Saccharomyces cerevisiae S288C: one gene and its partner. The protein of the gene in region 2 interacts with the protein of the main gene of each other region in a biochemical or structural test. Each region holds a gene or a part of one and is shown on either strand. Other genes may lie near its edges. The genes, in order: UBC6 and SSM4.

The links.
Region 1: the proteins of SSM4 (region 2) and UBC6 form a complex in vitro, tested with the Saccharomyces cerevisiae proteins (4 studies listed by BioGRID, with this or other methods).

What each region holds. Positions count from the first base shown.
Region 1 is NC_001137.3:349,492-363,580, reverse strand, and holds UBC6 (E2 ubiquitin-conjugating protein UBC6), read right to left. Parts: upstream 4,020-14,089; coding exon 3,267-4,019; downstream 1-3,266. Other genes in the region: 40S ribosomal protein eS8 RPS8B, read right to left, coding at 1-481; AST2 (Ast2p), read left to right, coding at 1,787-3,079; ribose phosphate diphosphokinase subunit PRS2, read left to right, coding at 4,520-5,476; putative ubiquitin-specific protease UBP9, read right to left, coding at 5,851-8,115; SHC1 (Shc1p), read right to left, coding at 10,345-11,883; recombinase RAD51, read right to left, coding at 12,399-13,601. UniProt on the Saccharomyces cerevisiae protein: Catalyzes the covalent attachment of ubiquitin to other proteins. Functions in degradation of misfolded or regulated proteins localized in the endoplasmic reticulum (ER) lumen or membrane via the ubiquitin-proteasome system.
Region 2 is NC_001141.2:295,550-312,767, forward strand, and holds SSM4 (E3 ubiquitin-protein ligase SSM4), read right to left. Parts: upstream 4,461-17,218; coding exon 501-4,460; downstream 1-500. Other genes in the region: SUMO protease ULP2, read left to right, coding at 1-188; EMA17 (Ema17p), read right to left, coding at 5,280-5,708; EMC5 (Emc5p), read right to left, coding at 8,130-8,555; cohesin subunit IRR1, read right to left, coding at 8,928-12,380; ATG45 (Atg45p), read right to left, coding at 13,053-13,622; Zn(2+) transporter YKE4, read right to left, coding at 13,837-14,877; protein translocase subunit TIM44, read left to right, coding at 15,616-16,911. UniProt on the Saccharomyces cerevisiae protein: E3 ubiquitin-protein ligase which accepts ubiquitin specifically from endoplasmic reticulum-associated UBC6 and UBC7 E2 ligases, and transfers it to substrates promoting their degradation.

The DNA of each region.
Region 1 (14,089 bases), on a different chromosome or scaffold from region 2:
TGAATTGAGATTCAACGGAAGATTCGATCTTGGCAGAAGCAGCTCTAGCAGCCCACTTTCTTTCAGCGTTCTTGCTCTTGGCAACAGTTTCTTCTTCCTTGACGTTCTTCTTCTTACCCAAGGTTTGACCGTAGTGAGCTTCGAACCATTGTCTGAATGGAGTAGCATCAATTTGGACAATGGCAGCCTTGGTCAAAGTGTTAGTTCTAACCAATTCATTGTTGGATGGATGGTAAACAACACCAGCAATTCTGGTCTTCTTGGAGATACCTTCAGAAGCCCAAGAAAAGTTACCGGTTTCAATTCTTAGAGCTCTGTATTTCTTGTTACCACCTCTAGTTCTGACAGAGTGGATTCTCTTAGCACCAATTTTTGTGTTGGCTGGTTGACGACCTAATTCGAACTTTCTCTTCTTTCTGAATTGAGCACGTTTAGCACCAGTGGCTGATCTTTTGTGACGAGAATCACGAGAAATACCCATTTTTACACTATTTTAATTTTTGTTAATTTGTTAGTAAAACTATTTTCTTGTAATAACGCATCGAGATAGAAGGCGAAAGTATGTGATATTTTCACAAGGTATTCCAAATGTATTTCAATTGCTCGTATTCATCCTAGACCCATTTTTCCTTGCATCGATAATTCTTCGGTCTTTTAAATTGCAGTACCTCCTCAACGCTAGTTAATTCTCATATATTAACCTCAAATGTTAGGTTGCATGATTTCATTGCTCAGGATGCATGCGTTAGAATTTATGATCTAAATATCCATCTTGCTAGCAGTCTTGACCGCCACAGGTTTTTAGGTTTCTCCTTCTACTTTCTCATTTGCTGGGTATCAGAACATACGTTTTATCGTGGTGTGTTCAGTCTCCTTTCAATGTTTGGTAAGTAAAAATCATAAATAATAGCTTTTAACAATATGGTGGTAAGTTTCACCATTGAGTACAATACGATGGGCATTGGAATGCTGGCAAGCTCGTCCCGCAGAATGGAAGTTTCAATGTCCACGCTGAAGCAGGACCCTTTCCTGCCTAAAGCAATGCCCGTTCGTAAGGAAGTTAGGCGGACTGTCCCTCCCCTCTACCCGAGAAATTTCTCCTTCCTCTCTGCCCACTTGGGCTGGGCAAGTCGGTATCAGGCAGAATCTCTGTTCGGGCGAATTGTCGACCGATTGTGCTCCGCGAACTTTTAGTAATAGACAAAAATATTGAAATATATTGTATGGGTTTAAATTTCTTGGATGTCAAGATGTTTCGCAGTAAAAACTTTCACTCTAATGACGATAAAATATGACTTTGGTTATTATGCCCAGAAGTCGGTAGCTAAAGATAAACGACAGGCTTCAAGTAAACTTTTAAGCGGTGCATAGATTATGTACATTAAGGATTCACTCAGCCTAACTCTTTTTATTGAGTACATTGCTCAAGGCGATACAAGTCCATGAATTTACTGCTTGAAATGGAATTACTCACAACGAGGGGAGAACCAATAATATCCGTATTCGAATTTCTCTGTAGGTCAAGTTCAGTTTCTCTTAAGGGGGAAGTTTTGTTGTCAAGTCGAAGACCTACCTTAACTTAGCCTTTTCTTGCGTCCAGTTGACCTTGATTGTAAAACCTTCTATCGCCATTATTCATCCTATTTTATGATTTTCAGACATCGCCCCAGCTATACACAAAGAGAAGTATAAAGGAAGGGATGCACGATTATACTTAAGTTGAAGGGTACATTACGCAGGAAGTAAAGACGTAACAATCAAAAGAAAGTTAAACTAGCATAGAAAGATGGCAGAGAAAATCTTGGAAAATAAAGACCCTAAACTAGAAGCGATGACAGTGGACCATGAAGTTTCAGCGCCGAAGCCAATCCCCGTGGATGAACCTACGCTGACTAGAGTCGCCAGACCGTTAAGACATGTAAGACATATTCCCGTTAAGTCATTAGTTTTTCATTCTAAACACGGTCCCATTACTTTTTCATATGAGAACAAAATTAAGTTGCCCATAAGTAAAAACAAACTGGTAGTTCAAGTGAACTATGTAGGTTTGAACCCTGTTGATATGAAGATTAGGAATGGTTACACCAAGCCTATTTATGGTGAAGCCGGCATTGGAAGAGAATACAGCGGAGTGATAACACATGTCGGTGATAATTTGACAAATAGATGGAACGTGGGTGACGATGTGTACGGCATTTACTATCATCCCAAGTTAGCCATTGGCGCCCTGCAAAGTTCGTTGCTCATTGATCCGCGTGTCGATCCTATTTTAATGCGACCCAAAAATACTCTATCACCAGAAAAGGCAGCAGGCTCCTTATTCTGTTTAGGAACAGCACTTAATCTGTTAGCTCAACTAAAGGAGAAGGATCAATTGAATACAGAATCTAATGTTTTAATAAACGGTGGTACAAGCTCTGTAGGGATGTTTGCTATCCAGTTATTGAAGCGTTACTATAAAGTTTCTAAAAAGCTAGTAGTGGTAACGTCAGGTAATGGTGCAGCAGTCCTGTCAGAACATTTCCCGGATTTGAAAGATGAAATCATTTTCATAAATTATCTGTCATGTAGGGGAAAATCTAGTAAACCACTCAGACGTATGTTGGATACCGGTAAAGTTGTAGATTATGATGATTTTAATACTCTCAAAGAAACCGAAGATTATACTCAGGGTAAATTTAATGTCGTGTTGGACTTCATCGGTGGTTATGATATCTTGAGTCACTCGAGTTCTTTAATTCACGCTAAAGGTGCTTATATTACAACAGTTGGTGATTATGTTGGAAATTATAAGAAAGACGTCTTTGATTCTTGGGATAACCCTAGCGCCAATGCAAGAAAAATGTTTGGATCAATGTTATGGTCATACGATTATTCTCATTTTTACTTTGACCCCAATATCAAGATTATCCCCAAGAAGAATGATTGGATACATGAATGCGGCAAGCTGCTAAATGAGGGAGTCGTAGATTGCGTTGTTGATAAGGTTTATTCCTGGAAAAATTTCAAGGAAGCATTTTCCTATATGGCTACACAACGTGCTCAAGGTAAGCTTATAATGAAAGTTGAAGGTTTTTGAAATGGGAGTTTCTGTCTCCCTAGGTTTCACCTCATTTTTATTGAGGTTTCTTGGTCAATACATACTCAAAAATATAATTAATAATTCACAATGTTCATAATAAAAAGATCCGTTTTGTCTATATAATACTATTGATTTCTATTCTGTGTTGTCAAAATTTATCTAAAGTTTAGTTCATTTAATGGCTTCATTTCATAAAAAGGCCAACCAAAAACAAAAAAATAGCGATACCAATATAAACCATTGAAGAACTATCATTAGGTTCTTTGCCATCTTTCTTGGAATTATTTTCTGATTGTCTCAACGCTTGTTCAGCGCGTATTCTGTCTTCAGGGTCTAGAATTTCCTCCAACGAGATGACTTTTTCCTTCGCAGCCTTTGTAAAAGGGTCTTCTGTTTCATCACCTGTATTTGCCGCATCCCCCTCATCCAATTTTCTCTTTTCTAATGTCTCTACATTTTCCTGTACAACTTCCGGAAAAATCAATTTGAATCTAACATTTTGAAAAGTGTTATAACTTATGGAATTTCTTGCTAATGTCTTCTTCTGATGGTCTGATGTTGTAATTGATCCTGTCGTGGCTTCATCACTGGTCATGAAACTTAGTAACCCGTTCAAAATGGTTGAGACAGACCAGCCAGGATTCCAAGTATCAGGGTGGTAATCACTCATAGAAAGGCATAATCGTGTGTTGGGCTTGAAACGTCCATTCGGTGTTATCATTCTGATAGCCGGTGGTTTGTATGGATAATCAGACGGGAAAGTTAAAGTACCGTGATATTGACCGCCCTTGTAAGGAGTATCCGCAGGTCCTGTGATAATATAGTGCCACTCTAAAATATTATCTTCGTTGGGGCGAGCAAGAATATATGGTGGAGGGTTTTCCACCATCAACTTGTACTCTTTCGTCAATCTCTTGTGAGCCTGCTTTGTAGCCATTACTATTGTACGTACTTTGTTTGCAATTTGCGAATGCGGTTTTAGTTAATATTTAAAGTCTTTTCTGCGATATGCGATGGTAGTCTTCTTTATCACGGCTCCTAAAGTGTGATAATCGGAAAGTTCCTTTCTGTTCTCTGCAATCGATTTCGGCTTTTTCTGAACACAAATAACCAAAATTTCCTTATTTTATTGGGGAGGCTATCCTAATTGTAAAGTGCAATATTGCTGTGGAAGGATATCGACTCAAGCGACCAGTGGAATAGGATGGCGAGTTGGCTAGTTTAGCTCTCTCCGACATTGTTGCTATTGAACAGATACGGTATGCCCGTGTATTTATCCTCCTACCAAATCGCGCAGCAAAATGGTTAAGCACGTGACTATTTTTCAACAATGAAAAAATTTTGAACAATAGATGATATGAGGAGGCATCGAGGGATTGCTAAGAAGAGGATATTCCTCATCATCCAAAGACTATCTTGTCGTAAGTTTCGTTGAATATGTCTACAAACAGTATTAAGTTGTTAGCTGGTAACTCACATCCTGGGCTTGCTGAGCTTATTTCCCAAAGGCTTGGTGTACCGTTATCTAAAGTGGGGGTATATCAGTATTCAAATAAAGAGACGTCTGTTACAATAGGGGAAAGCATTCGTGATGAAGACGTATATATCATCCAAACTGGTTACGGGGAACATGAAATCAACGATTTCTTAATGGAATTACTTATCTTAATTCACGCTTGTAAGACGGCATCAGTCAGAAGAATTACGGCAGTAATACCAAATTTCCCTTATGCTAGACAAGATAAGAAGGATAAATCGCGGGCGCCCATCACTGCGAAGCTGATTGCCAATCTTTTGGAAACTGCGGGTTGTGATCATGTTATTACTATGGATCTCCATGCTTCACAAATTCAAGGGTTTTTTCATATCCCGGTTGATAATTTATACGGTGAACCAAGTGTGTTGAATTACATAAGGACCAAAACAGATTTCAATAATGCGATACTGGTATCGCCTGATGCTGGTGGTGCGAAAAGGGTGGCTTCTTTAGCGGACAAGCTGGATATGAATTTTGCCTTGATTCATAAGGAGAGGCAAAAAGCTAATGAAGTTTCGCGAATGCTGCTTGTCGGTGATGTTGCTGGTAAGTCATGCTTGTTGATTGACGATATGGCTGACACGTGTGGTACGCTGGTGAAAGCCTGTGACACATTAATGGATCACGGTGCTAAGGAGGTTATCGCTATTGTCACACATGGTATATTTTCTGGCTCAGCTAGGGAGAAGTTAATAAATAGTAGGTTATCAAGAATTGTTTGCACCAACACGGTACCTGTTGATTTGGATTTGGACATTGTCGATCAGGTGGATATCAGCCCTACGATTGCAGAAGCTATCAGAAGATTGCATAATGGAGAATCAGTCTCATATTTATTTACACATGCGCCTGTTTAAAGAAGAGGTATAAACGAATATATTTGTATAAATGTACTAACAGATATTTTGAAAAAAAATGCGTATATCTATTCAGTATTAGCGCTTATGCTGCCACCAATATTCTTCATCTGGTCTCTATGAGATTTTCATTAAAGCTTAATCTTTTCTGATTTACCGCCCTTGCTTTTGGAAAATATGTGAAATTTTATTGTGCTCTAAAAAAAAAAAGTTATTACAGTAGGTGAAGTGAAATACAACTAAATTCGAAAGATCAGGAACAATAGAAAGAAACGTGGAAATTATTTAAAAAAGGAAGAAAAAATGGTACACTAATATTGATACTTTTAGAACAGATGGGTCTCAACTATATGATGTATCGAAACAATCCCGATTTATTTGATGAAGCTCAATATTCTCGATTTTCTTTTTTGCTTATTGCGTTTTTTATCATTTAATGGCGTCTTGGTTTCTGCAGTCTTAACTTCAGGTATATTCCCCAAGGTCTTTTTGCGTTCAATATTTGCAGCTGCCCTCAATTTACGATCCCTTAACCAATCATCGCATTTTATTAACTGTTCAATGTTATTGTCAGTCTGCATTTGATCTTGACTAGAAGTGTCTATATTTTCATTTTGATTTTCGGTCTTATCAGCCTGTGTTTCTTTATAGAATAAAACGTAGGCTGTAGTTTGATCACCTGGATGACCTGTGAATTGTAACACAGTTTCTTCTTTTATGGATTCCACCGTTTCGTCATCATACAAAAGCCACCCAAACTTTTCGTTCCTGCAAATGCATACGTAATGACCATGCTGTGGACCGCTCCCCATATGGATGACGACGCCGCTTAGTTCATATTTTTTATATACTGATGTATTAAAAGTGGAAGAAACATCCAAAGTTAGTGGATAGAGTATTTTGTTAAAAAGTTTGATGTTTGACTTTTGCTCCTCTGAATACTTGAATCTTTTTAGGTGCAATGACAGAATATGGGGCAGTTGCTTCAGTCCGACCATACGTTCTGCTTCTTGTAAACCATAACATTTGTTACAATAAAATTTGTTAACCCCGTTCAACATCTCACGCTGATGATAGCTTTTTAACATCTTCTGGATATCAGTCTCTTCATCACCCTGTACTTCTATTGGAAAGTCTAAAAATGGTTCGTCCCTTGAGGTGATATTGTCACAAGTTAAACATTTGATCCTATTCGTCAGTGTACCTTTGAATAAATCCGTTATAAAGTTGTCGTTGCTGTTGTCTGTCTTTTGTGGTCCGAATCTCATTCTGGGATTATTGCGTTGAATATATTCACTGAAATCATTTAATAAAAAGTTTAAAAATTCATGGGCATCTTGTTGCATCATAGTGTTGAACAAGACGTTTTCTTTTTTTAAAATTTTGACAAACTCTGTAGGTGAAACGATACCGGTTAGCGACAAGTTTTCAGTAATAGACTCAAATATATCTTTTAGTCCATTGTAAAGTGTAGCTTCCTCGGTTGGATAAAGTAAATGATCTACGTTAAGAACGGGGCCTCTAATTAAAGCGGCTTTTTTTCTTTGTTCACTTGTTGGAAACGTATTCTCTTTATTATTATTAGAATTGTTGACAGCATCGTTACAGCTCTCAGGGTTAACAAGGACATCATCATCCACTGATGTAATCCTACTGCCTTGTGAATCACACTGGCAATGCGAATTTGCTTGACAATCTGTAGTTGAAGCTTTTGATAAGGAATCGCTTTGCTTTAAAAGCGGTCTTCCCACAATAATTTTTTTACAGCCTTCGTGAAGCTTCTCTGTTAATGTATCAGAGGCCATTACAACTGTGTGAACAGGCTGAGGCCGTTCCATCTCATTGTTATCATCTTTCTTTGCAGAATCTTTATAGTTCGATTTATCTTTTCCAAAACCCATAAACGAGTTCCTTTTTCTTTCAAAATTATTCTGTTTTTCTTGAGTAGAAGAAGAGGAGTTATCTTGATCACTCTGCTGAAGGTGGTGGTGGTTATGTGCATCTTCATTATCATTGCTTTGGTACCCCGTATTAGAATTTCCGCTATTAGTAGATGTTTCAAAACTTTCATTAGTGAATACCCTTATTTTTGAACCCTTCAAATCACTTTTGCGTATTCTGTTTACTGCGGCTACTCTTTCAGGATATCGCAGCACATTACACCTAAATTCGGGGATATTATAAAGGCATTGTAGAACGGAGTTGCAGTAGCAAGTATTCCCAAAATTTTCATAACCAAACACTTTATTGGAACCATCCCCATATGGCATTAAATCTGTAATAGTAGTAAATAGTATGGAGGACTCTGTATCGAACGCACGATCTTCATATGTAGTCGAGGAATCGTACTCTCTTTCATCTGAAGTACTTGCCATATTATGGTAATGCTCATGGTAATGTTTATTTCCTGCAAGGTTATCCGTTTGACTACTAAACTTGCTTCTTCTTTCATGGCTCGCAAGATTAGAAGGTATGCTTGATGTACTACTCTTAGCACTTGGTGATTTCGCTATGGAGGGATCTCCAGAACCTTTCGTTTTCTTCAGGCTAGTTGCTTTCCGATTAATTTCGTCATTACCTTGAGTGTTCTTCTCCGGGTGTGACTTTTTCCTATTCACAGATAACCATCTTTTTATCATTTTTCATATGGAAGACTCGTTGCCTTTGGTAAATGTTTTAATTTTCTGTTTATTACTGATAATGCAAATACTTTTTTAAGGATCGAGCTAAGGTTTTCGACACATTCAAGCTTGTTCAAGCGAAAGGTTGAGTTCGCCCCTAGAAGTTTAATAAAATCGGAAGTTCCAAATACAGCTTCGATGGACCTTATTGAATGCAAGAGAAACGTTTTCTTGTGGGGGGGGCGTATATCGTTTGGAAAGGAACAGAAGTGCAACTTTTTCAACCCATAATAGAAATCGCGCATTGACATTAATAAACGCGATTTCCGGGGTAAAAACCGCATATAAAGTATATATGGCGTACAGGAGCCCAACTGCTTTTTCTTTTGCTGAAGGACAATTGAGATACGACAGCGTGATGCTTTGTTGGAAGGTGGCTCCTAACCCCATACATACACTGTATGATGTCAAAAAAGTACTCCGATACGGGGAGTCGAACCCCGGTCTCCACGGTGAAAGCGTGATGTGATAGCCGTTACACTATATCGGATTACAATACACGTATGTGTTGCATCTCAAAATGGAATACGTCAGTATGACAATACCCACCTAAAATATTCATAAAACACATATTGAGATGTTGGTGAATTTTAAAATAATTGTTGGGATTCATTGTTCGTAAACGCTATAATATTGCGTATACAGAATATACTAGAAGTCTCCTCGAGATATGGAATCCATAAAAGGAGAATCTGTTGGAACGAGAGTAATTAATAGTGACATGAGTTGCTATGGTAACAATCTAATGCTTACATCGTATATTAATGTACACCTCGTATACGTTTAAGTGTGATTGCGCCTATTGCAGAAGGAATGTTAAACGAGAAGCTCAGACAATACTGAAGCTGTGTTAAACACCTATTAGTTGAACATGTTATGGTAGGTACATATATGAGGAATATGAGTCGTCACATCAATGTATAGTAACTACCGGAATCACTATTATATTGGTCATGATTAATATGACCAATCGGCGTGTGTTTTATATACCTCTCTTATTTAGTATAAGAAGATCAGTAATTATTTCTTCATTAATACTATTTTTTTACCTCTAATTATCAACAGAATCGATAAATCTACATATTGTTGTTATTCTTTTTTCTTCCATTTTATATGTTCTCGTTTATTATTCTATCACGATCTGAGTCCCTGCATTTCGGCCTCCATTAAATTTGATGAGTGTTTCTCAATTTTTTATGTCATCTTCCCGCACCGTATATGATTGTATACCAGTATTATGAATATCAGTACACTAGTTGATAGATGATGGCTGATTCCTATTCCAAGAAAGTTTTACTTAAACTTTTATATTTCTACTATAGGTTCTTGTCTGAGTAACGGAAACCACCTGCTCTAACAAAATCTTAGTTTAGTTCAAGGTTACATTTGCTGCATAATCGTTGTGGTTCTGGAGTTTTATCCCGCAACGAAATTCTAATCTATGGTTGAAATTTAATTATGGAAAAACTCATTTATGATGCTAAGCAAACAGGTCTTAGTGTGAGGGGGCATTGATCTTGAAAAATAGTCAATCCTACCCGCAGAAATTACTCCACAAAGGTCTGAAAGGAGACGCTGTTGCGTATTTGATCAATGAGGTGTATACCTCTTATCTTAAGCGGTATATAATAGCTTTATATCCCGATACTTGAATTATGCTTATGTAGGAAGAAGTGACACTGATTGCTCATTTGTGCCATTATAATGTAAGCGTTTGTTTTACAAGTGTTAGTGAAGGTACAATGTATGTTATTATTTTTTTTCTTCATCGTTTCTTTTCAAAAGGATGAGATTTTGTTTTAAAATATTACAGATTTCCGCACCAAAAAGTAAATATTATGAAAAAGACACATTAATTTCAACGCTGGGAAAGTAAATAAGTATAACGTCGTATATGATAGAACTAAGAAAGGCCGTGACTTAACTGGTCCATAGCCAATGCCACGGCATTAACGATAGTAGTGCTCAAATACATCTAAAAATGCAGCATATAGGATCTGCGCTAAATAACAGAAGGAGTTTAGTCAGGTTTATTTATTCGATATACAGCAAAGTAACAAATAGTAACGAAAGGTGTGAGGATCAGTCTATTTTTGATCAAACAAACTTCTAAAGTTAATCGAACTTCCACAGTTTGTGAAAAAAAAAACAACAAAATAAAAGGAAAACGAAGTTTGTATTTATCTATTAAATCAACTTTTTGGCTGCCACAGCTTCATGGGAGGTTTTATGATATTTCTGTGCCGAAGGAGGATGTCCTCGCGAAACAAACCCTCCACTTCTGCGAGCGTCTTCTAGTATTCTTGCCGATTCAGTATGCCCTAAAGCCGCCGCCTTCTCATACAATGCCATAGCATAATCTGGATCCGAAATGATAAGATCTTTATATCCCGTCATATAAATATTGGCTAATTCAAAAGGAGCACCACAAACAAAGCTGCTAGCCATAGATGTAGCCCTTCGCAACCATCTATAACCATCCATTTTGGTTAGAATATCATCTGGAAGACCCATCAAACCATGATACGAATATACTCCTAATTTGTACATTGCTGCAGGATGGTTCTTAGTTGCAGCAAAAGTCAAAAAGTTAACCGCCTTCGGTGCATTTCTGGTTACACCCAAGCCGCACTCATAGCAAATGGCAGTTCTGTAAACACTTTCGATGTGCATTCTTTTGGCTGCAGCGGAGAATAAAAGAAATGCTCTTCTATTCTTTATTTTACCGAAAACTCCAGAGGAGTAGGCGTCACCTAGAAGGTACTGTGCATCAGGGTATCCAACGGCACTTAGTTTCTTCAAAATAACTTTGGCATCGTTCACTAAATATTCCTTTAAAGAATCTACAGAGAAGCTATTGCTTTCATCCTCCAGTTCCTTAACAAGTTCGTGTAGTTTTTCGGTATCCAACCCTACCCTTAAAATGTATTGTGCATACTGAAAATTAGAATATATGTCTTGAGTTTTCTTAACTACCTCCCCGTACATTTCAATGGTTTTCCATCTTGGTAGCAAGCTCTTCTTGTTTTTCTTGCCAAGGTGAAATTTGGCCACATTATGTGATTCTGATGCAGTCACCTCATTTGTGAGGCAAAGACTATTGTAAACGTTAAAATCTAGTGACACATGTCTAGGAAGTGAAATGGAACTTGTACTTCTATTGATATCGTTTGAAGAGCCTGATCCGCTTGGATTATTCAAAAAGTCCAAATCATTCGATTGACTAAAAGACAGAGCGACAGATTCATTCTGAGAGGGAGGGGGCTCAGCGAAGTCGTGAAACTCGGAATTACCGTCTGCCGATGTGCCATTTAAAATTTCGGATGAAATTTCAGAAGCAATTTCAATTTCACAAGAACCTTGTGATTTTTCCTTCAGTGAGGAAGAAGCATCGTCCTCAACGTCGTTCTCAAACTCGTCCTGCTCAGGAAGAATCTTTCTTGTGGGAAAAGAGTTATATTTTTCAATCAATGAGGGCGAAGCGTCGATATCCATCGCATCCTCACCAATAGAGGATGAAATTTTTTCTTTATCATTTGTAAACACATCACCTGAGCGTGAAATATGAGATGAAACGGATGACCAGTATTGACGAACTTCTGGTTTATTCAATATCAGAGAGGAATCAGAGGAGAATCCGCTTGATTCCAACTGTTTATCAACCTCATTATAAGCTCCAATTTCAGGGTATGCACCAGGAGTATTTGAGCAAATAGTCATGGACATTATGGGTACTGCCTGATTTTAACAAAGGGATACTCGTAATGTCAACCGTACTTCTCTTGCTGTTAGCAAAAGTATTGTTCTATTCTTTTTTCCAAGTACAATTTTTTATTCAATTTAAAAACGTCGAAACGAAGACAAGGAAATTCATTGCCATAAAGAAGTGTATGGTATTTTACGTTGGTTTTATAAGAGGATGGCGACATATCAGAAAATTTTTCTCTTCACTCCCCTAAAAGGATAAAGCCGCGCGGACCCTGCAGGAGGAAGTAGTCATCGGGAAGAAGAGTAGAAAAATACATATATTTCATGGGTGACAGACAATACGAAAGTTATTTAAAAGAACTGAAAAAAAAGGTTAAGACCGCAGTAGGGTTGCGAGGTATATGACAAAATATATGCAAAAATCTAAGACAGTGGATGGAAATGAAGATAAAAATGTACGGAACGCAACCTAAGAAAAAGAGGAGAATTGAAAGTAAACCTGTGTAAATAAATAGAGACAAGAGACCAAATACCTACTCGTCTTCTTCTCTGGGGTCACCAACACCATCTTCATAGATCGCGAACACACATTCAGCCTCTGGTAAGCAAGGTGAGTCAACAACTTTGCATAATCTTTGACATCCCTTACCCTTTTTGAAACCTAATCGCGTGGTGGAAGAATGTGCCATAATATTACCACCGATAGGCTTCTTTGGATCTGGATTAAAAGCCATACCACCATCAACTTGGGCGACCACTTGGTTAGTAACGACGACTGCAACACCAAATTGGTCGGCCAGCCTTTGCAAAGCACGCATAAATTTGGCTAAATGCATTTGCCTTGCGCTTAGTTCACCACGACCAGAAAAATCCGTACGGTATAGAGCCATAACAGAATCGACCACAATCAAGGAAAACCGAGACTCGCTCATCATTTGGGCAGCAGCATCCAGAAGTCTTAACTGATGATCGGCGTTATAGGCTCTTGCATACGCAACGTTGTTCAAAGCATCATCCGGGTCTAATCCGAACCGCTGAGCTATGGATACCAATCTTACCGGCCTGAAAGTACCTTCGGTATCGATATACAAACACTTACCTTCACCGCCACCAATATCCAATGGAATTTGGCATGTCACGGCCAAAGTGTGACATAGCTGGGACTTACCTGTCCTGAATTCACCGAAAAGCTCAGTAATAGAACCAGTTTCCACACCACCACCCAAAAGAGTGTCCAAATTCTTAGAACCCGTTGTCAAACAAATCAGCTCCGATCTTCTCATATGAAAATCAGCAGCCGTGACAAATCCCATAGGCACTAGCCTTGCCGCTTCGTTTAGCAACTTATCTGCCTTAGCTTCCGATATACCTTTGATTTCCAATAAATCCTTTCTGGGAGCATATGCTACCGCTTCAGCAGTGTGAAGCCCACTCTCCCTTAGTTTTTTCACATCCGCCATAGTAATCCCGTTCACTTGCAGTTTTTCTATTGGCACAAACGAACCTAAGGCAGCTTCATCGTATGCTTCATCCTCCATTTCACCTTGCGCTTCCGCTTGCTCCTGCAATCCGCCACCATCGCCGGAGCCGTTGGTGGCCTCAATATCTTCGCTGCTACCGTTGCCGTTTCCATCAACGACTGACTGTGAAAGGTCTGCTGGTACAGTGGACATCAACGAACCGTTCCCGTACTGAAGCTGTGACTCTGATATATGTTGTTCTTGAACTTGAGACATATGACGATAACAAATTAGTAGGCCTTTAACAAATAACTACGTCTGCTCTTTGTCGCTACACTCAACTACTAGTATATGGAAACTACGGAAGATAGAAGAAGTAACTGAGAAAATTTTTTCTCCAGTCCCCACTATTCCCCTTTATGGTCCCACCACGCGTACTGTAAACAAACCAGGACAGAAATAGCGGAAATGACGCGTAGCATAGGGTAACGAAGTGTGGCCTAGTCGTGGGATATGGTGAGACGGTGATAAAACACTGATACAACCGGTTGGAATGCTCAGGGAATGCTCAAGAAGGCCACCTGTTGCAGGATAGCTAAACTAGATTGGTTGAAGAACGGTAGTGGTGCATTTCCAACATTTACCGTCCATTTTAATTTACTCTGTGACAATGATAAGCCAGATCGCTATTAACGTGGTGTAGTCATGTGACCGGATGGCACTGCCGGTGGCAAAAAAGTGCAAATGCAGGGGCGATGAAAAGA
Region 2 (17,218 bases):
AGTTGGTTGATATTGATGATGTGGCATTTAGTAGTCCAACTAGGGGTATTCCAAGAACCAGCGCGACAAGCAAGGGATCAAATGCACAACTTCTCTCTAATTATGGAGATGAAAATAACCAGTCTCAAGATTCTGTTTGGGATGAGGGCAGAGATAATCCTATACTCTTGGAAGATGAAGACCCTTGAAAGCACTCGCACGCATAGTTTTATATTTTTTATTCTTTTCCTCTTTATTTTTATTTTTTTAACATTCTCGCATAATAATAGTAACAGCAATAAAATAACTAGTAATATACATACTCACATAAATAGGCATATTTTTTATTTTGTTCTTTCGTATTCAGAATGGTAAATTTTTCTAATGAAATGTTTTACAAAAATTTTTTTTCTATAATTCTAACAATAAGAAATAAAACAGTGGAAAAACATATAACTTAATGTAGATATATATATGTAAATATGCTAGCATTCATTTTAAATGTAAGGAAGAAAACGCCTTTAACTTTCATCTGGTAAATTTTCTAAAGCTCTACCCTTAGTGTAAACCTCGTCTTTTACATTCTGTACAGTACTTTTGAACCATTGAATGAACAGCACAGTTGCTTGGAAAAAGAACGTAAATGACTCTAATGCTATCAGTAGTCCGAAATAAATATCTTGCATCCTTGTCCATGTTGGGAATGATTCGTTAAGCGATAAAGTGAAACTCCTGGATCCATGGCTAATATCGATAATCTGCTTTGTAGAAACATCACGTAAAAATACTAAGGATAAAATAATAATCGGCAAGACGTAAATTACCATGTGCAGGAAACCTTGTTTAAACAGTTCCAAAGCCATTGTTTTCAAGAAGTTCAATTTACTAGTATTTCTGTTTCTGAAAAATAGTTTCAATGACTTATATCCGGTTCCGAAATTGACCATTGACGAAATGATCCAAACGACGAATAACAAACTCTCGTCATATTTAAACCATTTGGAATTACCAATAGTGTATGAAGAATTGCCAAACACTCTGATGGTGAGATAATTGTAACAGGCTAGTATACCATCGGTTAAGACGACCCACGAAACCATAGTTCTAATAACCGCAATCATGATAGCTATAAACACCATCAGGTTATACTTCACCAACATACTATCAAATATACTGTTAAAGATGGCCATGAAAATTCCTTGACCCTCTTCCACATTATTGATATTATTAACAGGGGCATTGTTGATATCTCTCTCTGGTATATCGTGTTCCACTTCCTCTACTTCGTTTTCGTCAACGGCATGTTCATCGAGAGTGTTTTGGCCTTCTGTAAAATGAAGAATATCCTTAGCAATCTTGGATAAACAAACAGATCCGACACAGACATAATAAATGTTCAAATAGGAGTAGCTAATGTCAGAGAGTTCCTTCCATGCAACATAGACCTTATTTCTTTCACCTAACAATAGCTTTACGACTGGAAGAAAGCCGAAACTACAAACAAAGTTTATTAAAGCTTGACTAATAAATGTAACACCAAGCATTAAAATGGAAGCAAATAACCAAACCAGGCCAAGCAATGTCATATAGCGTAAACGGAAATCTGGAGGGACGTAAACGATATAATATTGATCATATTCCGTGTTTTGTTCGTCTAAATAACCAAATTCACCAGCAGCACGTTTGTTTCTCTCTTTAATTCTTTCCAAATCTAATGGTTTCAACAGCTTATCATCCTTTGTAACGGGGACAAACATTGTTTGTACATAATTTCTGGATACTATATCAGAAGAAGGAACACGCATTAAAACGCCATCGGGGACAAAATAAGCATGAACGTCACGAACTTGCCCAAACAATTCTTCTGCTTGTTCTAGAGTCTTTGGTTTAGTGAAAAGTTCTTGGTTTGACCATTCTGCATTCTTGGCAGCAATGTACTTGTAAAACAAATTGCGGTAAACAATATGGCCTCTCTCTGTTGGGGTATCTTTACCTAAGATAAAGGATGATAAACGTAATTTTCTTGAACATAACTTAAAAATTGTTTTCCAATACCTTTCCAATAAGGGTTTAACGTAAGAGCTAGACTCCAGGATCCTCTTCGTAAAATATAAAGTTAGCAAAATTGTATTGAACTTCCATGAAATAATTGATGTTGGTTTATAAGCTTCAGGAACGGATAATAAGTTCGATTTGAGCATGAATGGGAAAAAAATTCTAGTATGGAAGCCAAAACCTAAGACAATAAAAATCGCATAAATAAACATGGATAAGCAAAGCCTTGATAATTGAATACTCATCGGATGAATTAAACTATCATGCAAGATCTTAATATTAGGATCTTCTGGAGATCTGATAAAGAATAGAACACCTGGTCTAATGATATTTTTCCTAATCATTCCGATATATTTGGCAAACCAATACATGTAGAGAGTACCAATCGTCCAGTATACGAAAAGGGAAAATGGAGGCCATATTGCGCATATTGAAGGAACCCAAAGCATCCGACTATTGGATGCCAGGATTGGGCAAAATAATGAGAAATCTAGCATTACACCAGCTAGAATGGGGAATCCAGCCAATTCGATGAAAAATAAAGTGAACACCTTGAAAGTGCATTTGAGTGCAAATAAAATCTGGAAAATCAGCCTTCTAGTAGGGTTGCTCATTCCGTTCTCACGGCCATAACCCCTCGAGACAAGATTGGATGAAGCACAAACGATACTGACTGAGGTTAGATACGTCGTTAAAGCAGGTAAAGCTCTGATGAAAATTGAGTGCTTCATGGTGTTTTCAGTGTAGCCGTTGTAAAGATAAATGATGTCATGAATTAAGTGGTCTGAAATCCAACTCATCGCGACATCTACTTTAGGGACCAGTTTCGTCAGCCCATTGTAAGCTATATGAGCGCCAGACAAGTAGTAAAGATGGCACAACCCACGCAAAATAACCTTAAATATACCAAAATAAATTTTCAACAAACCGAACCCAATAAAAGTTGGAAACAAATAGGAAATTGCCAGGTATATTGCGGTGAAAACTACGGCAATTATGAAATAAGCAATGACATTCAACAATTTCAATTTGAGATTTATCACTAGAGGGCCTTGTCCTTGATCGTCTGGGTTAGCCTGTGCTGGTGGCACACCAACAGCTGCGCCAAAGTCTTGTTCGTCTTGATCGACATTTCCAGCTCTGTTTTGGGCAGGTGGTGGGATGAAAACCGGAGCGTTGGGCCTGTTTATTGCGTTCTGTTGAGCAGCGATTAGGTCATCAAATTCATTTTGCGCACGACGATTTGCCCACATGTCAATCGGATTGGGCTCTATATGATCACGGTAATCTGCCTCTTCTTCTGGTTGCTGCTGTTGCTGTTGCCCCTCTGCTTCTTCATCTTCTTCGTTGTCACTTGAAGACCCCGGTAAAATTCGTGACGAATCATCACCTGATGGTAAACTATTGTCAGAGTCGTTGTTCTCGTGCTCTTCCGTAGCCTCATCATGATCTAATTCGTCTACGTGGCGAAGGTTTTCAAAATTCCGATGGTCATTAGGATCCTGAGGTGGAACGTTATCGTTTCTGGGATTAATAACATTATTATTATTATCTGCTGCTGCGGCTGGCATGTTCAGTCTATCATGACCTTGCTCTTGACGATTTTCGTCATGAGCTCTCATTTCCCTCGCTAAATATTCAACCATTCTATCATCCATCATGGGGAATCTTTCCTTCAAACGTGATTTCAAGTCCTTGGGAGATAATCTTGGACCTATCTTGTGGAAAACCATTTTACTGAAAACATCCTCTCTTACTATCATATCGTATTGAAAGTACAATGCTATATGTAGTATCACTATCATAATAAATTGTAAAGACGTAAACGAATGGTTTTGTAAAAGTTGGTAAAAAATTGCTCTCGTGGTTAATTCTGGAGTTGCTGACTGATCATAACCATAAATCAAACTCTTTAGGAAATCACCAGGATAAGGGGATGATCCATCTAGCATCATGGTGTATAATTTTCCAAACATGTTCCATACCAAAGGAACACCGATAATATATAGTACAGCGGCCAAACCAATCGTTAAAGCCAAACGAGCTTTTTCGAAAAATGTCAAGATGCTCTTGGATAGTAGTAAAGAAAAAGGTATCTTTTCGGGCATGTTTTCCGCATATATCGTTTTGAATTGAATGGGATAGTGACAGATGTCACATTTAACATCCGCGCCTGGTTTTGAAATGTCTATATTTTTTGAAGCTACCCATTCCAACAGACAGGATTCATGCATGTATTTAATTGAGCCCCTGCATTTACAAGGATGGAAAAGAGGATTGTCCTCAGTAGCTTCTCCACGACAAATACGGCAGGTGGCGCCGGATGGCGCATCATCATTGAAAGTGGCGGTATCTGTTTCCTCGTTTGCCACCTTATGCAGTTCATCTCTTAACCTGGAGACATTAACGTCAGAATCAACATCCATGACTTTCACACTTCTAGTCTCTTTGATTCAATTAGTGGTACTCTTGGCTAAAAAAACAGTTTTTGAAATCAGTAACAAAGAACTATTCTTAACGTAATCTTATGGCTTCATAGATCGGTCATAATCATCTTTTCAATGTCCTCAATCGATGCGTTTTCAACCAGTTTTCCGTCTCTAATGATTTAATTTTTCTATTGAATTGAAAATGGTAAAAAGATAGCCCTGTAGGGGGCTCGAACCCCTAACCTTATGATTAAGAGTCATACGCGCTACCGATTGCGCCAACAAGGCTATTTCGTTGGAAAAACTACTTATTTTAGGAAGTAATAGCACATTTAAGATGCTTGTTGGAATGAAACTTTAAAATATCATCTGTTTAGTACTATTCATGTTACTAATTAAGATATGGGTGAATTTTGAGATAATTGTTGGGGGTTCCATTGTTGATAAAGGCTTATAATATTATGTATACGGAATATACTAGAAGTTCTCCTCGAGGATCTAGGAATCCTCATAATGGAATCTATATTTCTATATACTAATATTACGATTATTCCTCATTCCGTTTTATATGTTTCATTCTCCTATTACATTATCAATTTTTGTATTTCAGCTTCCTCTAACCTCGATGACAGCTTCTCATAATTTACGCCATCCTCTTACACCGCATGTGATGCTATTACTACTAAATAGATAACATTAGAATTTCATTCCAACAGCTTTAGTCTGTTTTAATAAACGCAACAGCACCATAATGTTATTAATTTTAATAAAGCCAAATTATGGCCTGCTGATTTCTTTTCATTGGTAAAAGTTCTATCACCCGTTCCCCATTAGTATGATAACCGATAAATAAACTCTATTACCTGGTTTCTTCGTTCCAGGAACGTTTATACCCTGACTACACATTTCTTTTGAAAAATAGGCCAATTGAACAATTAAGTTAGAAGCGGTTAGAAAAAGGTATAATAGGAAAAAATGCATCCAATTTTTACAGTTGAACCACTTGGGGGATTTTATTCTCGTATTGTAGCGGGAGCATTTTATCTTCGTACATCTTGGAAGCTGTAGATTAATCTTATTCCTATATGCTCCTTCAATCCACACAGCAAACCCCCAAATGGAAACGATCACTGAGTATGTTATAAACCAGCTTACGCTTATACTATTATCAAAATTCAAAAGATTGAACGGGGAAAATGGTAGAAATGAATATTGAAGCATTTTCGCAATGAAAATTAACCGCATTGTTTTTATAGTAATTCTGATGGCTAACGGCGGTAATACAGCATCCTTACGAAGAGCGGGAATAGTTCATTTGCCCTCTTTGATGGTTTGCATAACTGCGTTGTTGATTGTCTTAGGAATGGAAATATTTAACAAATATACCTATAATGAAAAAAGGGTCCTTCTTTTTAATTATTATTGGCAGCGAAAAAGTTGTCCCAGCTTCTACTTTTTTTCCCGTTAAAAAAGGAAGCGGCGGAAGCTGATCTACTCTCTAATAATAGACTACTCACTCGCATCTTGGTAACGAGTCCCTTTAAGATCTTGGTACATAAAGTTTGCTGCAGCAAAAAGGGCTTATTTGCGCATTCATGATATTAAACAACACCCTGTTTAGCGTGTTAATGATCCTTGTTTTATGCCAGTATATTCTGTATACCTTATAATAGAGTCAACAGTTAAATCCTAATCATTACCTCAGGACTTACCTATTTCTGAATATCATGGTCCACCATTCTACCTCAGTGAATTGATTGAACCGCACCATTGGAATTGTCATGGTGAGCCAGCGTGCTACAACTTCATGATTTTACGAGCTGAAAAAACACGCCCTTAGGCATAAAAACTCAATGGAAATCTGTAAAACAAAATAAATTTCGCTTTTTAACTTGGCCTAATGGGAATACTTTAACAATTGAACCTGTCACTAAATCAGAGGAAGTACATGCCTAATTACTCAAAGCTGTATTTAACTAATTTACCTATACTATCGCCAGGCATTCAAGGATGAAGACATGCGTCAATGCAAATAGTGACGGCTGCTGCATTAAAGAGGTGCTGCGTGGTGTAGAAAAGGCAATAACATGGACGATGCAAGGTTATTCAGACGCGTTGTTTGTATGCCATTTCCAATGATAATGTTGGTTGCGTTATATAGAAATGTGTTAGGAAGAGATTCTACAGTTGATTGCAGCTTTGACGTTATACTTACACCTTGGATAATGGCCAGTATGTTTTCCAAACGTATGGTGAATTGGTCTAATCCACGTCAAGCTGTTTTAAAAGTATGCAGCGCAGCCGTGACCTCCCGGATAGTTGCCAATTGGTTGTTTACGATGAACATATTATATACCAGTGGTGAAAAGGGTTTTTACTCGCTAGCAACAGCTGTGGTAATTAAAACGGTCACTGATGGGTTTACGGTGATACGGGTTTTCTCTATTCACCTGAACGAGTCAGTATATAGCAAGCCATTACCATAACATTGGGTAACGTCGCACGCAACACAGCTGCGGGTGTGTGTGGTGATTGGTTAGTCAATTGGTCATTTGGGCTGGTAATAGGGCATGTTCCCCTTACAGCTTGTACTGTCTCATTGGGGTTTGCTCTTATTGCTGGAATAATAAATGGAAAGGTTAACGACGACACAAATGGTTTTCGACGACCAAAACAAATTAGCAAATGGCAACCTTTTGTATTAGGGCTAATTAATGTAAGCGATGTTACCATTTTGTCTATTTCTGGCGGTGGACTGGTAGCTTCTTCATGTGGAGGTGCAATAGGCTATGCTACTGTCATTAAAACTGTTGCTACCACAAATGCACGTTTCGCGATTACTGAGGTGATCAAGGAAATAGTTATTCGTTATTCATCACAATTAAATGCAGAAAAAGTTTGTGAAGAATAAAAAACTCGAGCCGGGTGGTAAATTGTTTTAGTACGGTTAGCATCGGTTTAGTACCTGTACCAATATGTGTCACTTTTGTTATTTCTGCAGGCGATAATACTTATAATAAACGCATACATGATATCATAACTGCCTTTATACGGCACCTTACAACTAGCATGGGCGTTCAAGTGGTGGAGAACTATTACCTGTTCCTGAAATAACAGAATGAATCATCAATAAGGGCTTGTCTGTACCTCAGGATGATTTGAACAAGTTCCACTTACGCTAACATGAGGATGAATATCGTACTTATACTATGTAAACTGGAATAGAAATATTCCGAACGGTTATCCATTAGAGTGTTAGCCCTCAAACCGAGACTCTCGATAATATTGAATAGAAGATTTTACCACTAAATTTAGTGTGTATTTATGTATCTTAATAACAAACTATCCAACGAAGACGCAAAAGATACTATCCGCCCCGTAATCCTTTTGAAACCACTCAAGCTTATGGTTCACGTTATAGAACACAGGAGACGCTTGCATTATTGGTGATTCTAATATAGCTTTCTATTCCTCTATGAAAGGCGTCTGTGTTGGTGTAAATAGAAGAGGTGCCTGGTCACCTGACGCCTTATTTTGTGCAGTTACGATGTTCGAGTAGATTCGCTATCGAATTTATGCTCAAAATCTAGCTAATCCTCTTATTAGATCTTGATATGTATATATGTATGAAATTATAAGTTCTAGCTCTAGTTTTCAGTATCTTATTTATTTTTCTTTTTTTACAGTGTTAGAGGCCCATTCCCTGCAAATTTTTCTCTTCATATGAACGTCAACAAAGCTTGGAGTAAATATGATCTCACCATTAGGGTTACTTCCTATCAAGTTATCCACGTTGGTGGCTTTATTTAATGCGATTTCTTTTAGATAGTTTCCTTGGGATATTATCTTCCCATCGTTACTCTCAATTGGTAAATATTGTAATTTCTCGAACGAAGTGAACACTGCAAGAACAAAGAGTATCAATCCTGCATACGTTTCATACATGATATCTTTAGGTAACTTGCTGATTGCACCTTGTGCATTATTAAGCGAGTTAAGTTTTAATAAGTGATGAAACTCATAGCTTGAGAAACCAGAATGAAATAACACCAATGCAGAGACTGTATAGAGAAGCTTGGAAACAAACGACATCTCTTGATAATTGCTTTTTTGTATCTCGGTAGGGCTTAATTACGATCGCTTTTTAGATGCTACAATTAACATGCATAACAACTATCTGAGTTGACTTTATTTTATATTCAAAAGTAGATTTTTCTGCGCTGCGTTTACATCGCGAGTTTTCGAAGAAGCAAAGGGCGCTTTGATGACGATTGAATGGGCTTGGAAAATACATAGCCGAATATCATCCAGCGAGTATAGTCTAATGCGAAGGGATATTTGAAGTATTTATGATTAATCAAAAACTGCTAACGAAGCTATGTATGTTCAAAAGAAAGATGTGATATATATTATAGATCTTATTGTTTTACAAAAGAGCAATAAGTCTGACGTATATCTTTTCCCTTAATCTTGTGTGATTTCGTCGCTGTTGTCTATAGCATCTACCACGGTTGGGTGTTCCTCAATTGGTGCTAACTCTGAATTATTTTGCGAACTTTCTTCAATAGGTTCTAGATCGATTGTCATGGGAATATCTGGATCATTATTTTCAGTATTTGCATGGTCGGTTTCTCGTTCACTGTTGGGTTGTAAAGGCGCTTTTTCCCTCTGTGTTTGATTTGATTTTGCTTTCTGTATGTTCTTTTTATTAGGTTCTGGATTTTCCATTATGGTATCATCTACGATTTTTTTGAACAGCGGGCCAAGCTTTTCTTTGTTTAGTGCCACACGGGAAGCAAATCGTTCATCTAAAATATTCAGTTTCATTAGTCCCTTCAATTTAACTGTGAATAAAAGGAATTCAGTTTCAATATTCTCGAAAAACCCGGTTTCCGGCAAATCATTTAGGTTGGCGTCTTCATCTGCTACCCTTTCTAATTGGACGTCAACTTGCTTAGCGAAAAGACTCTCCAAATATAAAAATATTTTCAAAAGCACTTTGGAAGCATTATCGTGAAGGTAAAATGGAAATTGTTCACTCATACTATATCTCCATGTTGTAGCGTCTGCAGGCAATTTGAGCTCAAATATTTTTATTGCAACGATTATATCCATTAATGAAGTGCAAGCTGACCATTTTAAGTAAAACAAGCTGTTTATGTTTTCAAATGTTTCGTTTGTAGCCGCCAATGAAATAACGAGTGTGTTTAGACGACCTATTATAGCGGCAATTGGTTTCCAAACTGATCTAAGATCTTTTGAAATAGAATTCTCGTAATCCCTTACTTTCTCTATTATTTCTCTCCATTTTTCCAGATTCCATGTGGCTAATAACACTAGCATTTTAAAGTTTATTTCTTGAGCGGTACTATCATCAAAATCTTGAAACATTATAGGGATACGGGAAACAAAATTGTTCAAAAACAGTTGCAACAACTCTTCATCAACCTCGATTGGGTAATCCCTGCCAAGAATTGTCAGTTTATTGATGTAGAGCTCGTACAAAGAACAAGTTAAATCTTTGTAGTCGTCCCTAGAATTATTTGGATCCATTTTTTCCTGTAGAAATTTTTTTAAATGAATTTTCAATGTAGCTATCTGGTTTAAAAATTTTTCCTGCAGTTCCTTTTTTTCAAAATGATGGATATGGTGAATGAATTTAGCAAATATATCGTACTTCATGTCAACTTTTGAATTCCCGATTGTAGAATCCATAAATGCTTTAATAGTTTTGTCGGTAATTTTTTTTAATTCAGTTTCATATCCAATAGATATCCAATCATCCAGAGAAAATGTGATAAAGCTCTCTAGGAGAGGACACAGAATATCAGCAGATTCGATGGATGCGGCATTCAACAAATCGTAGAATAAAGGCAAAACTATTTCCTTAACGCTGTCCTTAGTTTGGATTTTGGGGTTGTTGGCACCTGCACACAGACCGTGGAATACGTTCAGATATAAAATAGTGCTATTTCTGTCAATGGGAAACAATGGAGTGATGTCCAATTCCTCATCGTCAACATCCTCGTCATCGCTGTTATTATTGGCCGAGTTTTGTAACTTTTGGATCAGTTCATTTGATTCAGTGTCAGAGATCAGCAGATTGCAAATAGTTTTCAAGTGAGTGGAAATGTAAGGAGACAAAAACTCTGCTGCTTGTGTTAGCATACGGATCTTTGTCCTTGAATCAACTTCAGCGCAATCCTTCAAGTGATAAATTAAAGAGTCATTCAGAATCTTGATAAATATACCGACTTGAACAACGGGTCCAACTTCTAACCCGTCGACTTCTTTGGGCAAGTCTTCATGCGTCTTGATGAATTCGTCAAATTTCTCTTTTATTACTCTTGCTAAGAATTTGGCCACCGTGGATAGAAATTTGGATCTTTTATTGAATGAGGATGTTTTAAATGGGTCGAACTCTTCATCGAACATTAAACTAGAAATGATAAGAATCTCAGAATCATCTAAATAGCCCAATGATGACGCCTCCGTTAGAACTTGGATACTATGGATCCTTACATCAAGATTAACGTCACGGATTGCCACTTCCAGGATCTTAGTTTTGAAGCGTTCAAATACTTGGCGTATAGCGGAATTATCAGTGGATTTACTGTTATGATTTTGGATTATTAAATGCGGTAAAATCTTCGTAACTTGTAATCTGACTGATACAGAGTTATCGCTCAGCAGCCAGCCAAAATATTTTAAAAATGTAACCTTGAGGAAATATTCGGGATAGTTTTTAATCCAGATGGATAGATGCAACATGGATTCTGAACGAATCAAATCAGACACGTCCTTATACCTATGCACAAAACATAGTTTGACGATGTTATCGATAATGCTATCAATAACGACTTTGCTGCCTTGAGTTTCGGCGATAGTGCTCTCTAGCTTTTCTAAAGTCTTGTTATTGGGCCTTTTTTTCTTCTCTTCTAGTGATAACTGCTTGGATAACTTCGCCAAATAATTCTTTTCTAAATTAACAGCCTGTTGGGTCAAATAGTCCTGGAAAAGATATAGCGTTAGCGTAGAAATGTATCTGAAGCATCTGATTTTGCAAACTGAAAAAGAAGACAGCCAAGTCAACAAATCCAACACAAGATTACCAGTAACTATTTGGGTATCATCTTCGTCCGATTCCACGTATAGTAATTGTAAGTCATTTGCCACTTCCAACAATTTAGTCATGAATTCCGCGAAATTTTGATAAAGGGGACCCATTTTAAAGTTTTTTCTCTTTTTGTTTTCCTTGCTAATCAAGAGGTAAAATTCGTGCAGTTTCTGTCTTTGAAATAGCAACTGAATTTCACCAATCGTTTCGTTAGAAGATTCATTGCTGTGAACGTCGTGGTCTTCGACGCGAGCGACGGAGCCACAACAATTCAATAGCAAATTGATAAATTCTTGTAAAAATTTATCTCTATTTTCAGAATAGGTTTCTAACCATTCTCGCAATAGTTCTTCAATAGAAACATCTTCTGAAGTGGATAATATATCAAACAATTCTGTAGGTTGGAAATCCTTCGCAATTTCTAAGTATTGATCCTGATCTTTTTTAGAGCGGTGATAAGCAGGCGCATGAGATACCGCCGACTTCTGGGCAGAAGTAGGTTTTTTCTTCTGCCTTTTACTACTGGTATTTGATGCTGATTTGGGCTTTCTCTTTCTAGACTTTCTCTTTGCCGTAGCGGTATCTACGTAGTCATCATCATCCTGGTCTTCATAGTCATCCTCACTACTACTTTCTTCACTTTCACCAGTATCTTGCTCTTCTTCTTCTTCATGTTGCGTTTTGGCAGTGATCTTATCAGATTCTACGTGTTGTGCGCTGGTGTTTTGCTCGTCATCGTAATCTTCCTCAATAACTTGAGATTTAGTCCTTATTCTAGTTGAGCGACGCACAGCAGTCATGTTACCTTCGTCCGAGCTCTTGTTCTCAGGTCAATCGCCTTTCTTTATTATTTTTGTTTACTTGAAGCTTTGTTCTCTTTAATCAATATAGAGGAAAGGAAACAAAAGAATCATCTTATCTTACGCGTCACGCGTCGCGTTGCCGTCAGAGATGAGAGTAATAGAATAAGTTCTAGGCAGGATAAGTACGAGCTTTACTTCATGCTGTGCTGGATAAAGCACAACTATCTAACTTGTGTGCTAATCGTCTAGCTGACCTTAATTTACTCTCCTATCGGTAGCAGGCTGCTTTTTTTTTCGTTACGAAACTTTGCTTTGATGAGGATAGACAATAAATGCTTAAAAACAGAGCTTCGTAGGATGAGTCGATTAGACGTTTAGTTGCTTGCAATGTACCAATACGCAAACCCCTTCCTTTTCCTTTTTTAAATTGATCTTCCTCTTTTACATAAGCAGTAATAATGCCAGATCTTTTGCCGTTGTCTGTTGGAGCCTGTGTACCTCGGCGGCTAACAGCGATGATTATTCCACGAAATGAGATGCTCACCTTGTGATATAAGTGAAAAGGAATAAATCTATTAAAAATATGTATATCTAAACCATAGCTAGATAGAAAAGAGAAAATTGAAATATATATATTTGTCATAAAAGAAACATGTTTGAAAAAGTTGTCTATTTGTTCCAGTACGTCTTGACTTTCTTGGCAATGCACATTAGCCCATTTAGAGACTCTTTCCTGCTATTGAACGCCTGATGGAAATCACACTGGATGGTTGCATCCATGTTTTCGTCCTCCATATCAGAATTCCAGCACACTATCTCCTCTGTGCTGCTTAGGTCACTATGTGACGACAAGTTGACATAATCATTTAAAGAGTCGTCTTCCGGTTTCCCTTTTGCGGTGTTGGACCGTGTATGTGGTGATAGAGGTATATCCATGAGTTGACTGGCCTCATTGTCCTTAAAGTGGAGAATATTGTTGGTGTAACCTGACTTGTCTGTGACAGTGTCGAAGTAGTTGAGAGTGACCCATTTTTTGTCGTTTATCACCACTTTGAACATGGTGCTACGTTGGCCCTTTCTTCTGGGAATTTGCACCCTGTAGTTCTGTGTGCTGCCGTCATACTGCAGAACATAATCGGAATGTCTCCAGTTATCGAATTCTCCTGTAACAACTAGTTTATCTGCCTTGGAGCAGCCCTTGATCACGTCTTCAGGGATCACAAGTAAAAAATTGGACATCTTTAAAACAGTTGTGCACGCCTTTAAACCGATCAATACTGTTCTTGTTTGTGTTTCTTTTTTGTATTAGGTCAGAGATAAATGTTTGATCTGATCTGATTATCGCCTGTTTTTGCCTTAATTGAAATCCGGGGAAGCGTCGGTACCATATAAGGCAACAAGGATATTTACTATAAAGGTACGTATATTGCACGCCAAGTAATACAAAGCTGAATCAATGCTCATCCATGAGCGCCATAACGGCAAATCCTACAAAAATGAAGACTAGCTGCAAGGCCCACTTCTTAAACTCTCGAAGCTTGCTATCGGGTGCGGAGCTATGTAAGATCTGCGGTACAACGCTAGTAGTGGCTATGTATATGAGGCCGCCCGCCGTGAACGGCAGCATAAGTTCAGATGCGTTCGCGGATGAAGACGTTGCTTTATGGCTGTTGTTCCCGATTTCGTTCATCCAGCAGCCAATGGACGTTCCAACGACGGCGCCGAAAGCTGTCACCGCTTGGGCTCTTATCGCTTGTGGGAACGTAAACCCACTGGAAAGCAGAATGGCGAAGTCACCTAGCTCATGAGGGATCTCATGGAAAGTGACAGCTATGCTGGTCATTATGCCAACTTGTGTGGAACTATAGAATGACGTAGCCAGCGCTATGCCATCCGTGATGTGATGAGCAATGCCGGATATGACATTCAGATACGCAGACATGTTAAAGCCCGCTTTCTTCTCTGCAGTTTGTTGTGGAGTATGACTATGAGAATGAGAATGTATGCTGCCGTCATCGTTGGACGTCCCTGACAGAATACGCATCGTTTTATCCAGAGTCAAGAAGCTTATAAACCCCAGAAATATGGCTCCTCCAACCATTGTGACATCAGTTACGCCGCTGAGACTTTCAGGTATCACGTGTAATAAAATATCACCCAGGAGTGTTCCTAGAGAAAAGGAAACTAGTAAGGACAGTGTCAAGCTGGCACGATCGTTCTTGCGCAGTCCAGGAACAAACAGTACGAAAAGACACGGCATAAGTTGTATGATTAGGATAGCCACAATCGCATTGTAACGGGGTCCCAGGACAAAGAGGTGGTTCTGCAGAAAGCAAACTAGAGAGTAAAAAATGGATTCTTGCTTCAAAATCAAGAAACTTTGCTTGGACTCATGGTTTGCCTCGTGGCCATGATCTCGATTATGATGTACTCCATGGGACACCACTAGGGGTGCAATGCTTAGCAAATAAGAGCAAATGTGCGACGCCTTCATGCTTTTTCTGCTTCTGTTCTCCTTCTATTTCATTCTTATTTTCTTCTTTCCTTTTCCACCTTTTTCCTAAGACGTTTTTTTTTTTCAGTTTACTGTTCTATGGAAAGGGAATGAATAATAATCCGGAAAACTATATATTGGAAGAACTGGCACAGTTTGGTTCTCCGCAGAAATTCTACTAAATTACGTATAAATTGTGTATTAGAAGAAATTCAGAAACGAAATATCTGAACAGACCTACTTTAGTATTTTTATATGATAACTTTTTGAGTTGTATCCTTTTCTTCATTTATTTTTAGAAACTTTCTTTTTTTGGCCATAACATAAAATTTAAATAACGACGCTGAAACAAAAAGAAAAGAACACCACGACTAATAAAACAAAATTAGAACATTATGATTAGGTACTTCTTCAGTACGCTTTTCAAGCTACTTCTTACGATAAGTAAACTTCTCACCTGTAAATACTAGTAACGGTAGCAACCATACGGAAAACCATGTTCAGTTACCCGGCCGGGTGTTTTTTTCTCTTTCTTTTTCGCCCACTGGAGAGCCTCAGTCATATATGTCAAAGAAGACTGGTTGAGTAGCATGGGCTTCGGAACCAGGTTTGAAAGTACCAAGTATAATAAGCCCGCAAGTAAGCAAAAGTTGGGATAAGAGGGCAGGACCGAGCTTATAGTGTTTCGTTTTTTTATTCCTGAATTTTTCACTACCGCAGCAATTGCTATTTCAGTTCATGCACAGATCCACTTTTATCAGGACGTCCGGCACGAGCTCTAGGACACTAACCGCAAGGTACAGATCGCAGTACACAGGATTACTCGTTGCCCGAGTATTATTCTCCACCTCTACGACCCGTGCGCAAGGTGGAAACCCTCGATCACCACTCCAGATTTTCCGCGATACATTCAAGAAGGAATGGGAGAAGTCTCAGGAACTGCAGGAGAACATAAAGACGCTGCAAGATGCTTCGGGAAAGTTAGGCGAGTCTGAGGCCTACAAAAAGGCTAGGGAAGCATATTTGAAAGCTCAGAGAGGCTCCACAATTGTGGGTAAAACTCTGAAAAAGACCGGTGAGACCATGGAACATATAGCCACTAAGGCCTGGGAGTCCGAACTCGGTAAGAACACAAGAAAGGCGGCTGCCGCCACGGCGAAGAAGCTGGATGAGAGTTTTGAGCCAGTGAGACAGACGAAGATTTACAAGGAAGTCTCAGAAGTCATTGACGATGGGGAGAGTTCCCGATACGGTGGGTTTATCACGAAAGAGCAAAGGAGACTTAAACGTGAGAGAGACCTGGCCTCTGGGAAAAGACACAGGGCAGTAAAGAGCAATGAAGATGCAGGAACAGCAGTGGTTGCGACAAATATCGAGTCTAAAGAATCGTTTGGTAAGAAAGTGGAGGATTTCAAGGAGAAAACCGTGGTTGGCCGTTCTATACAATCTTTAAAGAACAAATTGTGGGATGAAAGTGAAAACCCCTTAATTGTTGTCATGAGGAAAATAACCAACAAAGTGGGCGGTTTCTTTGCAGAAACAGAATCCTCCCGTGTTTACAGTCAATTTAAGCTAATGGACCCAACCTTTTCGAACGAAAGCTTCACCAGACACTTAAGAGAATACATTGTTCCCGAGATTCTCGAAGCGTATGTGAAAGGCGATGTCAAAGTTCTCAAAAAATGGTTCAGCGAGGCGCCATTCAATGTTTACGCCGCCCAACAGAAAATCTTCAAAGAACAGGATGTTTACGCCGATGGCCGTATCCTAGATATCAGGGGCGTTGAAATAGTGAGTGCAAAGTTATTGGCTCCCCAAGACATCCCAGTCTTGGTGGTCGGGTGTAGAGCACAAGAAATCAACCTTTACAGGAAAAAGAAAACTGGCGAGATTGCGGCTGGTGACGAAGCTAATATCTTGATGAGCTCTTATGCCATGGTTTTCACCAGAGACCCAGAGCAAATCGACGATGACGAAACAGAAGGGTGGAAGATCTTGGAGTTTGTGCGCGGGGGTTCTAGACAATTCACCTGATTGGTTTCGATGTACTCTTTTGTTTTCTTTTCCTTTTCCTTCCTATTCCGCTTGTAAATAACTCCGTTATGTCTCACCTTCGATCCCCACTTTTTCTTTTGGAATACTGCATCAAATAGGAAGAGAGAAAAAAGGAAATCATATCCCAATATATTTGAACATACGACACGATATACCTTATATAGTATCATCTGTACTAATAGTACTATAACTAATACTTCTTGACGGACAAGCTTCGCAACTCGTTCGCAATGACCAAGTTTGGCTTTCGGGAAGCAAAGTGGAAAAAAATGAAAAATAAACTAAT